2 linked regions of the Saccharomyces cerevisiae S288C genome follow. Each later gene encodes a partner of the first gene's protein in a complex. Each region holds a gene or a part of one and is shown in the gene's direction. Other genes may lie near its edges.

Evidence for each region. The genes of interacting proteins can lie anywhere in the genome.
Region 2: the proteins of RSC8 (region 1) and NPL6 are in contact, whole or in part, in a cryo-EM structure (PDB 6V8O), measured with the Saccharomyces cerevisiae proteins. Residues at the interface, in NP_116695.3 of Saccharomyces cerevisiae: Ala69 (codon at 6,244), Arg71 (codon at 6,250), Phe72 (codon at 6,253), Leu73 (codon at 6,256), Ser92 (codon at 6,313), Phe124 (codon at 6,409), Thr128 (codon at 6,421), Leu131 (codon at 6,430), Ser132 (codon at 6,433), Leu137 (codon at 6,448), Ala141 (codon at 6,460), Arg144 (codon at 6,469), Asn145 (codon at 6,472), Pro181 (codon at 6,580), Ser182 (codon at 6,583), Phe183 (codon at 6,586), Thr184 (codon at 6,589), Gly185 (codon at 6,592), His186 (codon at 6,595), Phe187 (codon at 6,598), Gln188 (codon at 6,601), Val189 (codon at 6,604), Val190 (codon at 6,607), Leu191 (codon at 6,610), Asp192 (codon at 6,613), Thr193 (codon at 6,616), Pro194 (codon at 6,619), Gln195 (codon at 6,622), Gly196 (codon at 6,625), Leu197 (codon at 6,628); in NP_013809.1 of Saccharomyces cerevisiae: Leu343 (codon at 2,562), Gln347 (codon at 2,574), Asp351 (codon at 2,586), Tyr353 (codon at 2,592), Thr354 (codon at 2,595), Ile356 (codon at 2,601), His358 (codon at 2,607), Ile359 (codon at 2,610), Ser362 (codon at 2,619), Thr363 (codon at 2,622), Gln364 (codon at 2,625), Ser365 (codon at 2,628), Thr366 (codon at 2,631), Thr367 (codon at 2,634), Val368 (codon at 2,637), Leu369 (codon at 2,640), Gly370 (codon at 2,643), Trp371 (codon at 2,646), Arg372 (codon at 2,649), Arg373 (codon at 2,652), Ser374 (codon at 2,655), Lys375 (codon at 2,658), Asn376 (codon at 2,661), Thr382 (codon at 2,679), Ser383 (codon at 2,682), Ile384 (codon at 2,685), Val385 (codon at 2,688), Tyr386 (codon at 2,691), Glu387 (codon at 2,694), Thr388 (codon at 2,697).

The regions. Positions count from the first base shown.
Region 1 is NC_001138.5:227,013-235,225, reverse strand, and holds RSC8 (Rsc8p), read left to right. Parts: upstream 1-6,039; coding exon 6,040-7,713; downstream 7,714-8,213. Other genes in the region: SAP155 (Sap155p), read right to left, coding at 1-984; OSW7 (Osw7p), read left to right, coding at 1,682-3,214; IRC5 (putative ATPase), read right to left, coding at 3,285-5,846; anaphase promoting complex subunit CDC26, read right to left, coding at 7,889-8,213.
Region 2 is NC_001145.3:447,350-452,900, reverse strand, and holds NPL6 (Npl6p), read left to right. Parts: upstream 1-1,535; coding exon 1,536-2,843; downstream 2,844-5,551. Other genes in the region: AIP1 (Aip1p), read left to right, coding at 1-1,269; YMR090W (uncharacterized protein), read right to left, coding at 2,973-3,656; m-AAA protease subunit YTA12, read left to right, coding at 4,815-5,551. UniProt on the Saccharomyces cerevisiae protein: Component of the chromatin structure remodeling complex (RSC), which is involved in transcription regulation and nucleosome positioning. RSC is responsible for the transfer of a histone octamer from a nucleosome core particle to naked DNA.

The DNA.
Region 1 (8,213 bases):
GGGTACCAAGGGAGAGTTTTCAGAATTGAAATTTGGCTGGTTGATGATAGACCAAATCTTGTTTAAGTATGATTGGTTTTTAACTAATGACTCGCTAATCAACCATATGTCTAAGGAAAAGATTTCAGATATTATGGTGGCCTTTGTCAAATAAGCAGATTCATCGTCCTCATTCGCATCGTCGTCGTCGTCATTGTTGTTGATATCATCGTTACCAAACGAGGAGCTTCCGCGTTTTCGTCTCTTCTTGTTATTGCTGTTATTATCGTCCTCTTTCTCCTCTTCTTGCTCCGTATCAGATTCCACATAAACGTCCTCTTGTGAGCTATCATCAAGCTGTTGCTGTTCTTGATAATCTATCAGGTTATTCAAATCCACTGTGGTGGCGGTTTTAATCTTCGAGATACATTCCATCAGTTGGTCGACCAGATATTCCATATTATTCACTTTCTTATTAGTTTTCTTATCAAAGAAAAATCCAAAGCAAATGAAGTCAAGTAGCGTCTTGTTTTGTCTCGATAATTCGTTCAGTAGCTCTGTCTCTACAAGCATTCTTTCAATAAAAGAGTTATCCAAATTCTTTGTGGTGACCATCATGGGAGCAGTAGCATTGCTGATATCCTCCTCATCTAAATCAGTTTTAGAAGTTGACCCAGAAGAAAAAGATGTAGTGGAAGATTCGCTAGAGTTCATGCTCCGTTCCTCTTCCTCTTTCTCATACCGTTCTTGCTGATCATCCTTCTCAAATCGACTCTTCTGATCTCCACGTGCCGTTTTCACTTCATCACCATGACTATACTCCTCCGGAATAGAATCTAGGGAGTCACTTGTACCTCGTTCCTGAACGTTGTTGAAAATAGCGGGAATGGCTTTACCAACGCTTGGGTTAATCCTTTCCAGTTCGTGTAGCACATGAAAATATTCATCTAGGATCTTATTAATATTAGAGTGATTAAGATTCTGTCCAAATGGCCAAAACGACATCTTTACTCTGGCTTGTTGTTTTCGTCTTTTTTTTCTTTTCTTTTGTAAAAACTGCTGCTCCAAAAATCAATAGAATGGGAACGGCAGAGACTATAGTCTAGGGAAGTAACGCTTGTGTCTTAATCGTGTTGAAATAAAATCAAAATGAAATAAAATCAAAATAATAAAAAAAGAGGAGGAAAAAAGGGGATAGTCACTCAAACCCACTATCTAGCTTTAGTCTCTCAGTCTTTTAACCGCTACTTGGAGAAAAAATACTGAATCCAATGGTCAAATAAGGCCTTTCTTCTAGTTGCTTTGGAGCGTATGATACCACGATACTGTTGGTTTTGGTTCTAATTGGCCACTTAAAATTATTTTTCTTTCTTTTTTTCTAGAGGAAGGGATAACCCTACTAAGACCTATTCTATAATTACCAGCCCTATAGTTGTCTTTCATTTTTTAGATAAATGCCCTCTTTAAAAATTAAATTAACCCTACTCATTTTGTTGTCATTTCGGCCCTTTTAAGCCACAATACAGGTATCATTTAACAGGAATTACATAATAGTACTTTAGAAGAGACTTGTATGGCATCGAGGCTTCCTTTTTGACTATTGGAAGATAGCATTTTTTTGGGTGTTGCTACTATCATATTTCTGTTACTGATTGACCTTTTCTTAACTAAGAAAAAGGTGGTTAGTTCTTTACTAAAAATCATGAAGGCCGTTTTCAAAGTAACGACTGCTTTGCTGGCTTGCGTGTTTATTGCAAGGTATCTGGTCTGTCAGCAAAATGGTCTGGGAAGCTTTGCCACAGATTTACAGCCCATTTGCCGGCATACTGAATTTTCAGTTGGCTCACTATTCGATTCTAAATTGGTTGAAGGTTCAGCGGTTTCTGACTATTTAGTTGGAAAGTACTCACAATCGATAAAACCACTGATTGAAAGATACCCCAACTCATCCTTGAAGAGAATTATGGGATATTTTTACCGCTTTTGGTACAATATTTTCTCTTTTCTAAGGCTAAATGAGCTCTGCTGTTCGCTACATTCCAAGTTGGGACCTTTATTAAATCATCTAAGGATTGCCTGGTACTATTTAAAGCCATATACAGACAATGTGAAGAATGTACTAGAGAATCCATTTAACTCCTCTACGGATTGGATGAAATACGGCTCCTTTAGCGCTGATGGCACGCTCACCAAACCCATTTTTGAGACAGACTCGGAAACAGAGGATTATGAGGATGATGAGAATGAAAATGAGGATGAGGATGAAGATGAGGATGAGGATGATGTCGGAATTGAGGATGAAAATAAAGAATACGAGTTCGATGGAGTACAGGATGGCCACGGGAACTCACAACTCGTCACTGCTGCTATTTTGCAGGATTTGTCAAAGATTATCATTGGTTCCAATAGCCATGCAGAATTGGAAACTTACGAGGCAGAATCATTAAAAATGGAATATGAAGCATGGATTAAGGCTATAGATTCGAAAATACACAGTGCGATGGCACTTTTGGATTCAGAGATACAGTCTGTGTTCGAGGCCGAGGTGCAAAATAAATCTATAGAAATCACTAGGAATCTTGATGACCTTAACACTACCGTTAATGAGCAATTAGTGTTTCTAGATTCAAAAATCAAAGATATTAATTGTACCTCTAAATTCGATCCTGTGCAAAATAAAATAAAGTATTTTGATGAATCGGGTCAAGTTGAACTGGAAGCTTACATTACCAAATCATCTATCACATCGATACTGAAGAATTATAAAATACATTTGTTAGACTTTGAAAAATCACTGTTTCATTCATTAGATTCTTTTCTTACCGAAATGGCTAAACTGGCAGAATCGATTCGTCTTGAAAACGTCGAAGTGTACGAAGAGTGGGGCGATGTAATGATAAGTCAATGGTCGCAAAGAATGGCATATATGGACGTCAGAGGTCTCCATTTGGAAGATCAATACGATCCTGCCTATATAGAAGAGAATCATTCCAACTGGCTCCGTTTCATGGAATTGAAAAAGAAAGTTATTTCTGAGAGGAACCGTCTGGTAAAACATGATCTGGATATGACTTTGATACTGGAATGGATTACTAAACTAAAAGCTGATTTCCAGAACACAAAAAATAATATTCAAGATACCTTTCTGCAACGAATGAATACTGCGGATACTTTATTCAAAAACCGTGAACTAAAGGAACAACTAGAGGAAGAATTTGTACGGCAAGAACATTGATCAATATATAGGTATGTATATGTACATATATACAAACATTTAATAAAAACAATATTGTATGATAACCAAGTTAAAGACCGGAGGTTGTTTCAAATAGCTTGACGTGCGGCAGATCTACGACTCTGTTGGCCTTGTACGCTTCAAGAGATCTGTTGGTCAATTCTTCAACCTCCTTATCAGTCAGTTGGCCCTCAGTAGCCTTATTTTCTTTCTGTCCCCCATTTTCAAAGCCTATATTGGATTCATCGCTCATTAAAAGCATAGATAACTCCTGGACTAAGTCCTTATTAGTGACATTAACACCCGCTTTGTTTGCCTTCAAAAAAGAACCTTCATTTAACGCCAATTTTTTCAGGTTATTGAATTTTCCCATCTGGATAACCATTCTTTCCAAATTTCGCTTATTGGCCGCTCTGGTCAATATAACATGTTCAATGGTGTTATCACAACACAACCTATATACTATAACCGGTGATTCTTGGCCAATACGGTGACACCTGTCCATGGCTTGTAAATCCACCTGTGGATTCCAATCACTATCAAACAAGACAACTGTATCTGCCCCGACTAGATTAATACCCAGTCCTGCCGCCCTTGTGGACAATAGGAAAATGTTATGCTTATCTTTCGAGCTATTAAACTTCTCGAGTTGATCCTTTCTTGTTTCATTGTTTACTGAACCATCAATTCGAAATGTCGCGAACGAATTTAAATCACACCAATCTTCGATCAAATCGAGCATGTTAACAAACTGAGAATAAATAAGCACTTTGTGCCCCTCAGATATTAATGGGGGGATTAATTTTTGTAAGATTTGTAATTTCCCAGACGTCTTTAAAAGAGTTTCCAAAGTCAAGTCTTCTGGGTGTAAATATGGGAAATAAAACAAAAAAGTTGAGTCAATGATTTGTCTCAATTGCATCATCATATTTTGCAATTTCTTATTTGAAATTTCCATTTGCAGGTTCTTCTTATATAGTTTGTCCATTTGCAACAAGGTTGGATTGATTTTATTGTCTGTATTTGAAGTTTCATTACCAGATAGTTTATAATTGATGAAATCTCGTATGGACCGATTAGAAACGTGGCCGATGTATTCATCGTTCAATGTGAAAAAATCCTTGATTAATTCTTTGAACATGGTTTTTTTCAACTTTCCATTCAATCCAGCCTTATAGAATTTTTCCTGTGCAGACGTCATCGGACAATTTATGATATATTCTCTCTTTGGCGGCAGAATATTAGCCAAAACAACTTTTTTCAATCTTCTCAAAAGGAATGGTTTCAGAATTGTGTGTAAATTGGAAATCAAATTTTTCTGTAGTTCATCGTTGATTAACTTATTCAATGCTTCAGAGTTGGAACCGGAGCCTAAATTTAAGCTGTCGAAGTCAAACCATTTATTGAATATCTCGAAATCGGCAAAGATATCGGGCATTATGAAATTCAAAAGTGACCATAATTCAGCTAGGTTATTTTGTAAAGGCGTCCCTGTTAGTAGCAGTCTATTGGAAGTATTGATTTTTTTTAACTCTTTAATCAATCTACAGTTTATATTTTTCAGACGGTGGCCTTCATCAACAATTAAAAATTTCCAATTTTGACTCATGATTAAGTCGGTATCTCTTAAAATAATTTCATATGATGTGATGACGATCCCCGTGCCGCCGTGTTGTTTAAAGAAATTTTTCAACTTGGCAGAACGTTCCTTATAACCATTGGTCCCATAATATTTTAGAACTGGTAGATCAGGAGCGAATTTTGCAAATTCGTTCATCCAATTATCTAGGGTGCTTAATGGTGCAGTCACTAGAAAAGGACCCTTTGTGTCCATTTCATATATGAACGCCAAAAGAGCAATACTTTGAACAGTCTTACCAAGACCCATTTCATCGGCAAGAATTCCGTTCAGGCCATTTTCATAAAGAGTGATCAGCCAGTTAAGACCTTCTAGTTGGTAAGGTTTTAAAATACAGTTTTTCAATAGGCGAGGTTGCTTTATTGCTGCATCGTCTGGTGCGCCGTTTTGGGTGGTTGTATCTTCGTTCTTTTTCTGTTTTTTGAAGAAATCTGTTATTGATTTTTTTTTTGTTTTACGTTTTTTTGAAGAATGTTCTTCATCATCAGAGTTGCTGTTATCTTTTGTATTAGCGTTAGCCACTTCATTAGATCGATGTAGTAAAGTATCGGCGATTATACTGGAATATACCTGACTCTGCCTCACAAACTCGTTTAGTTTCTTAAGTTTTAAAGAAACCGTCTTGGTATCCATCTCGGAGAGCTCATCATCCAAGGATTTTTGCTCTGATTTCGTGTCTTTTGCCAATTTATCCACCACTTGGGCTTGAACAGCTTCTGTATCGGAATCGTCCTCTGAGTCCAGCTGAATATCTTCGTCTGAATGCACATCATCTTGTAACCATATGGGGGCAGTGTCATTGTCGCCTTTGCCATGTTTATTGTCCTCTGAATCCAAATCTGAATCTGAATCTGAAATGTCAGCCGTTAGGTCATTGACTTCCTTCTCCCGGTAATTGACGCCATTGCTCATGTTTCTCGTCCTTGCAGCCACCCTGGCCCCAACAGCATCCTCAACAACAGTCATCAGCGCCGCGTTTGAGCATCTGCTCATCTCATCGCCAAATTTGATACTTCCTTAATCCGTTACTCTTTTCTATGATAATTTAATTACGGCGTTCTCTTTGTCACCCGCTTGATGTAAAAAAGTTGGAAAAAATAAGTTTCATCAACATTGAATTAGTTCGTGAGGTTTATAGAGAGAAGGGTAGAGCAGAGAAGCAAAGAGTAGATAGAAGGCCAGGATAATGAGCGACACTGAAAAGGATAAGGATGTCCCTATGGTAGACTCGCACGAAGCGACCGAGGAGCCACCCACCACAAGCACCAACACGCCATCTTTCCCTCACTTAGCACAGGAACAGGCGAAGGAGGAATCTGCCACATTGGGAGCAGAAGTAGCTCATAAGAAAATCAATTACGAGCAAGAAGCACAGAAACTGGAGGAGAAGGCCCTTAGGTTCCTGGCAAAGCAAACTCACCCGGTGATTATTCCGTCGTTTGCCTCTTGGTTTGATATTTCGAAGATCCACGAGATCGAAAAAAGATCCAATCCCGACTTTTTCAACGATTCATCAAGGTTCAAGACACCAAAGGCATATAAGGACACAAGAAATTTTATCATCAACACGTACCGTCTTTCGCCGTACGAATATTTGACCATTACCGCTGTGAGAAGAAATGTTGCCATGGATGTTGCCTCGATAGTGAAGATTCACGCGTTCTTGGAAAAATGGGGCTTAATCAATTATCAGATTGACCCCAGGACCAAGCCCAGTCTTATTGGGCCAAGTTTTACGGGCCACTTCCAAGTGGTTCTGGACACTCCGCAGGGGTTAAAGCCATTTTTACCAGAGAATGTGATCAAGCAAGAAGTGGAAGGAGGAGATGGAGCGGAACCACAAGTCAAGAAGGAATTTCCCGTTAATCTCACAATCAAGAAGAACGTTTACGATTCTGCACAAGACTTCAATGCATTACAAGACGAAAGTAGAAACTCCAGGCAGATTCACAAAGTTTACATTTGCCATACATGCGGTAACGAGTCAATCAATGTGCGCTACCACAATTTGCGTGCACGGGACACCAACCTGTGCTCCCGTTGTTTCCAAGAGGGTCATTTCGGTGCCAACTTTCAATCTTCAGATTTCATCAGATTAGAAAACAACGGAAACTCGGTTAAAAAAAACTGGTCAGACCAGGAGATGCTACTATTGCTGGAGGGTATTGAAATGTATGAAGACCAGTGGGAGAAGATTGCTGACCACGTGGGTGGGCACAAGCGTGTAGAAGACTGCATTGAAAAATTCCTAAGCTTACCGATCGAGGACAACTACATCCGAGAAGTTGTTGGTTCAACGCTGAATGGTAAGGGTGGCGACAGCCGCGATGGTAGTGTGTCCGGTTCGAAGTTGATGGAATGCGTGAATGATGCTGTCCAGACGCTACTGCAAGGCGACGACAAATTGGGTAAGGTCTCTGATAAGTCGAGAGAGATCTCCGAAAAGTACATTGAAGAAAGCCAAGCGATAATCCAAGAGTTAGTCAAGCTGACCATGGAGAAATTAGAGAGCAAGTTTACAAAGCTGTGCGATCTAGAAACGCAACTGGAGATGGAAAAACTGAAATATGTGAAGGAATCTGAAAAGATGCTGAACGACCGATTATCACTGAGTAAACAGATTCTTGACCTGAACAAGTCGCTGGAGGAGTTGAATGTGTCGAAGAAACTGGTACTGATCTCGGAGCAAGTAGACTCGGGCATACAACTAGTGGAGAAGGACCAGGAGGGCGATGACGAAGACGGCAATACGGCCACAGGACATGGCGTGAAACGTGTAGGCAAGGAAGGCGAGGAAGTAGGCGAAGGCGACTCCATTGCAAAATTGCAGCCCCAGGTGTACAAACCGTGGTCATTGTAAAAAAATATATAAGAAAAAAAAAAAAAAAAAAAAAGAGAGCCTACAAAGTGTACTATTGTCATATTTTATATTTCTAATACAACGTATATAAAACTAGAGAGAAGAAATTTTATAAGTGAAAGTGAATGTGGATGCGTGCGCGTGTGCGTGTGCGTGTGCGTATGCGGATATGCTATTATTCCTCGCGGATGTAGAAGGGGTTGTGGTTGTCGTTTGCATTGGACGTCTCGTGGGCGGTATTGCTGTCGGTGGACAGATGCAAGGAATTGAGGACTCTGGTGTGCGCTACCGAGGCTGCTTTGTCGTTGTAAGATGACATGTCGTCATCTTCATCGATATCGTTATCGTTATCGTTATTGTTGTCTTCGATATTCTGCGATGTGTCCTGAAAGTCTGTATTGGAGTGCAGCGATCCGCCATTTTTTCCTTGGAAGTATTTTGTCTTCTCGATATTCAGCTGCTGCTTGAGTTTCTGCTCGTTCAGGTCATCGATCAGAGAG
Region 2 (5,551 bases), on another chromosome or scaffold:
AAGTTCTCTGCCAGTGACAGAACACACCACAAACAAGGCTCATTTGTCAGGGATGTTGAATTTTCACCTGACAGCGGTGAATTTGTTATTACGGTAGGGTCTGACAGAAAGATTTCTTGCTTTGATGGCAAATCAGGTGAGTTTCTTAAATACATAGAGGATGATCAAGAACCAGTTCAAGGTGGTATATTTGCACTATCGTGGCTTGATTCCCAAAAGTTTGCTACCGTAGGAGCAGACGCTACCATTAGGGTTTGGGACGTCACGACTTCAAAATGCGTTCAAAAATGGACCTTAGACAAGCAACAACTGGGAAATCAACAAGTTGGTGTTGTTGCAACAGGAAACGGAAGGATTATTTCTCTTTCACTGGATGGGACCTTAAACTTCTATGAACTTGGACATGACGAGGTTTTAAAAACCATTAGTGGTCATAACAAGGGTATTACTGCTTTGACAGTCAACCCACTAATCAGTGGGTCATATGATGGTAGGATTATGGAATGGTCTAGCTCTTCCATGCACCAAGATCACTCCAACTTGATTGTATCATTGGATAATAGTAAAGCGCAAGAATACTCCAGTATTTCTTGGGATGATACTTTGAAAGTGAACGGTATTACTAAGCATGAATTTGGATCGCAACCAAAGGTTGCTAGTGCGAACAATGATGGCTTCACTGCAGTACTAACAAATGATGATGATTTGTTGATATTACAGTCTTTTACGGGCGATATAATCAAGAGTGTAAGACTGAACTCACCAGGCTCTGCCGTTAGCTTGAGCCAAAATTACGTTGCAGTTGGTTTGGAAGAAGGTAATACTATTCAGGTATTCAAATTATCAGATTTGGAAGTCAGTTTTGATTTAAAAACACCTCTTCGCGCAAAACCCTCGTACATATCAATTTCGCCATCTGAAACATACATCGCTGCTGGAGATGTTATGGGCAAGATATTGCTATATGATTTACAATCAAGAGAAGTGAAAACTTCAAGATGGGCTTTCCACACCAGTAAAATCAACGCCATTTCATGGAAACCTGCTGAAAAGGGAGCAAACGAAGAGGAAATTGAAGAGGACTTAGTTGCCACTGGTTCTTTAGACACCAATATTTTTATTTACTCCGTCAAAAGACCTATGAAAATCATTAAGGCGTTGAATGCTCACAAGGACGGTGTTAACAACCTTTTATGGGAAACACCATCTACCTTGGTTAGTTCTGGTGCGGACGCTTGCATTAAAAGGTGGAATGTTGTCCTCGAGTGAGATAAGAATATAAAGTAAACAATTACGTAACCTTAGAAAAATAGATATAAAAAAGTTTTACACTGTTTTTACCACAGTCCATATAAACTTGTAATTATTACCCGAATGCTTTGATTACTTCGCTCTTTTAAAAAAAAACCCGTTCGAACTATTAAACATGTTACTGTGAGCAGACAAAAATATTGCAAGAAAACAGCTTTATAAAGTTTAAGCATTACTGAATACAGTACATTTACTTTTGAAGAAGGAAATACCATCTAGCAGAAATGTCAGATTCAGAGGGAGGTCTAGCTTCCGAAGTTGAACATGAGAAGCGGTCAAGATCTACTAGCAACAGACCCAATTATGCAATTGATACTGAGGATTTAGATATTGATGAAAATGATGAGAATGAAGATGATGATTACAGAGAAGAAGAAGCCAATGAGGGAGTGAATGAAGAAGAAATAAGTGATGAGGAGGAACAGATAAATAAAAGCGGAAGAAACAAAAGGAGGCACGTGGACGAAGAAGAGGATTTGTCAGAGGATAAAGGCGTTACTAGATCTAGAAACCGTTCAAAGTTCAAAAAACCAGTATTTCCCGGAATCGATGATGCTGAGGAGAACTTAAATCCTTTGAAAGTGGTCAATGAAGAATATGTTCTACCAGATGATCCTGAAGGTGAGACGAAGATAACTGCAGATGGTGATCTATTAGGAGGCAGAGAATTTTTAGTGCGCACCTTCACATTAACTGAGAAGGGGAATCGAAAGTTTATGCTGGCCACCGAACCGGCTAGGATAGTGGGTTTTAGAGATTCATATTTATTTTTTCAAACTCACCCCAACCTTTATAAGTTCATTCTGAATCAAACTCAAAAGAACGACTTGATAGACCGTGGCGTTTTACCTTATTCATATAGAAATAGACAAATCGCTCTAGTCACCGCTAGAGGCGTGTTTAAAGAATTTGGTGCTAAAATCATTCGTGGCGGCAAACATATAACCGATGATTATTATGCTTCTGAATTAAGAACAAAGGGAAATGTAATTGAAGGAAAACTTGCTGGTGATCCTATTGATAAATCCGCAAGGGCCTTAGAAACCATGATGTATCCTGCTTCCGAGAATGGCATAAACCCTGCAAAAAACCAGGTGGAATTCTTTGAACACAGGCCACATGGTCACATGAGTAATTCTAATATTATTGCATCAGGTAGTAAGCTGAGCTCTACAAATTGGCTCTATCAGCATTCTGCTGCGTGTAGTAGATTTAATAGCGATTTGTTTTATGATAGAGTGAAGGTTCTTCTTGTAGATCAACAAGGCTTGAGAGATGCATACACAAATATATTACACATACCAGAATCCACACAGTCAACCACTGTTTTAGGATGGAGGAGATCAAAAAACGATAGTCCCAGCGACACAAGCATTGTGTATGAGACCGTTATACACGATAACGATTTGAATAAACCGAAAACGGGACTGTCGGAAATCCCGAAAGAGATCTATGAAGACGTTGTTGATGAAGACGTTTTAAGGGCTATCACCGAACAACAAAATTTCGAAAAATGCAACGAATATATTTAGTATACTCAATGTAACAATATAACAAATTTTTATCTTCAAATCAAGGTAAAAAAATTCATATATTCTCACTTTCTTTTTCTTTTCTTGACTATTCATCTACATATGCATTTCACGCGTAAATAGGTTGATCTACAAACTTTGAATGAATTTTTCCATTGGCTCGTTGCCATTTACCAACGAAATGGTTTTTTTCACTGTTGCATTTGGATGTAGCAAGCTTTCCACAATAAAAGAAGCTACATCCTCCCTGTTAATGGAGTAGTTAACAGAAGCCTTCTCTTCTAATTTGTCAAGGGGTTGCAAAAGACCGGTACCTTTATTTAGTTCCAACGATCCAGGCTGTAAAATAGTGTAATCCAAATTAGAGTTTCTAACCTCACGATCAGCAGATCTCTTTGCAATATAGTATTCACGCAAACCCTTAATGTTATACCAAAAATCTCTATCCTCCGCCTTGAGCGCTGAAACAACAACGAACCTTTTGATACCAGCCTTTTCGCATGCTTCAACAACTTTGATACAGCCATCCAGATCAACCGTGAAAATTCTTTCCATTCCTTTACCACCCGCACCGGCGCTAAAGACCACGGCATCATAAGCCTTAATAGCGTCTGTGATCTCACTAACGGACGCGTTTTCTATATCTGTCAAACTAGCATCAACACCTACTTCATTCTTGAAATAATTGACTTGATCCTGTGTTCTAACAATCGCTAATGGTGTTGAGAAACTATCGTTGGCCTTCAATTGGTTTATCAATAAACGTCCAACTTTACCACTGGCACCGACAACCGCAACTTTCATAGGAGACATGGCTGTTAAGTCAATAATATATGAATACCGATGATATAACTTCAATGAATTTTTATTTGGAGGGAAAGTATCCTATTATGAGCGTCACGATGGGACTTTAAATATATATCCCTACTTCGAGTGTACCCTTACGTAATACTTGCAGCCCCTTGCTGTTGACAGCGCGATACAATTTTCGTACTAAACAATCACAGAGGTAACAGCAAAGTTTGGAAAGTACTTTTGTTGGAAAGTTATTACGGCCACTAACATTGTCTCGTCGTATTATTAAAAGCTATAACGTCGTATTTCTTTGCTCGCTTGTGTTTTGTGATACAGGAAACACACACCAACAGGTTCACCGAGGGCTGTTGTCTGTCTTTGTACTTTAACTCAAAGAACTTCTGTTTCACGATTTGTATTAATAGTTCTTGCAGGCTACTAGGCTGAATACGTTAAAATGGTTAGCAACGAATATAACCAGAAATACTTCGGGTACAATTCTGATACGTATATTTGTAGATATGTCTCGCTTGATGTTGCCAACTTTGTCAAAAATGGTAACGTATGGGCACACGGAATGTGCTAATCCTCGACTTTGCTCTTTCGTAAACCAATTTGATGCAAGTGCAGCGTGGTCTTTTGAAAGTGCATTATCTCATTGGGCGATGCGAAAACTCTGCCTACAGAAGTTCGCCGTTAGATAATTCTGATTGTAGAAAACCTACCAAAGAGAATAAACTAAAGTGTCATCTGCTAATTTATGATCTTATCGTCTGAGTGATGATGTATGTTTCTCTTTGTACGGTTCGTCTTGTGCTCATGTACGTAACATCCTCCATATGTGTGAATTATTTTGTCCGGCGTCTTGTTTGAATATCCCATCCGGACGTATTTCTTTATAGGATAACGCATGCACATATCGGTTCGTTCAATAAGAAAGTCCCTTCTGGTATTATTCGGTGTCCTGTAAGATCTATATACTAATCACCAAGCTATCTGGTGTCACATTGTGAATACATTTGTCTTTTGGTCCATTTTTCCCCATCATTTTCTCGTGAAAACGATCTCTAACTTTTGCCACTATAGTTTTAAAGGAAAGATTTTGAGCTGCCAACGAATACAATATAGCACACTCAAGAGTCTTGGCAAGCAACTTTAAAGTTAGAAAGAGTACTAATGTTGCTACTTTCTTGGTCAAGAATTGCTACTAAGGTAGTTAGAAGGCCCGTTCGCTTCCGGTCCTATTACGGCTTGACCCATATCAAGAGTTTACATACTCAATATCGGCTACTCAATAGGCTGCAAGAGAATAAGAGCGGTAACAAGAACGAGGACAATAACGAAGACGCTAAACTTAACAAAGAAATTCCCACAGACGAAGAGGTTGAAGCAATAAGAAAACAAGTAGAAAAATATATCGAACAAACTAAAAATAATACTATACCGGCTAACTGGAAAGAACAGAAACGCAAAATTGATGAAAGTATTAGGCGTTTAGAAGATGCTGTATTGAAACAAGAATCTAACAGAATTCAAGAAGAAAGAAAGGAAAAAGAGGAGGAAAATGGTCCTTCAAAAGCCAAGTCAAACAGAACAAAAGAGCAGGGCTACTTTGAAGGTAACAATAGCAGAAATATTCCACCGCCACCACCACCTCCTCCCCCAAAACCACCTCTAAATGATCCTAGTAATCCTGTATCGAAAAATGTTAACTTATTCCAGATAGGACTAACTTTTTTCCTCCTTTCGTTTTTATTGGATCTCCTCAACAGTTTGGAAGAGCAAAGTGAGATAACGTGGCAGGATTTTAGAGAGAAACTATTGGCAAAAGGTTATGTTGCGAAGTTGATTGTTGTCAACAAGTCCATGGTGAAAGTGATGTTAAATGACAACGGAAAAAACCAAGCCGACAA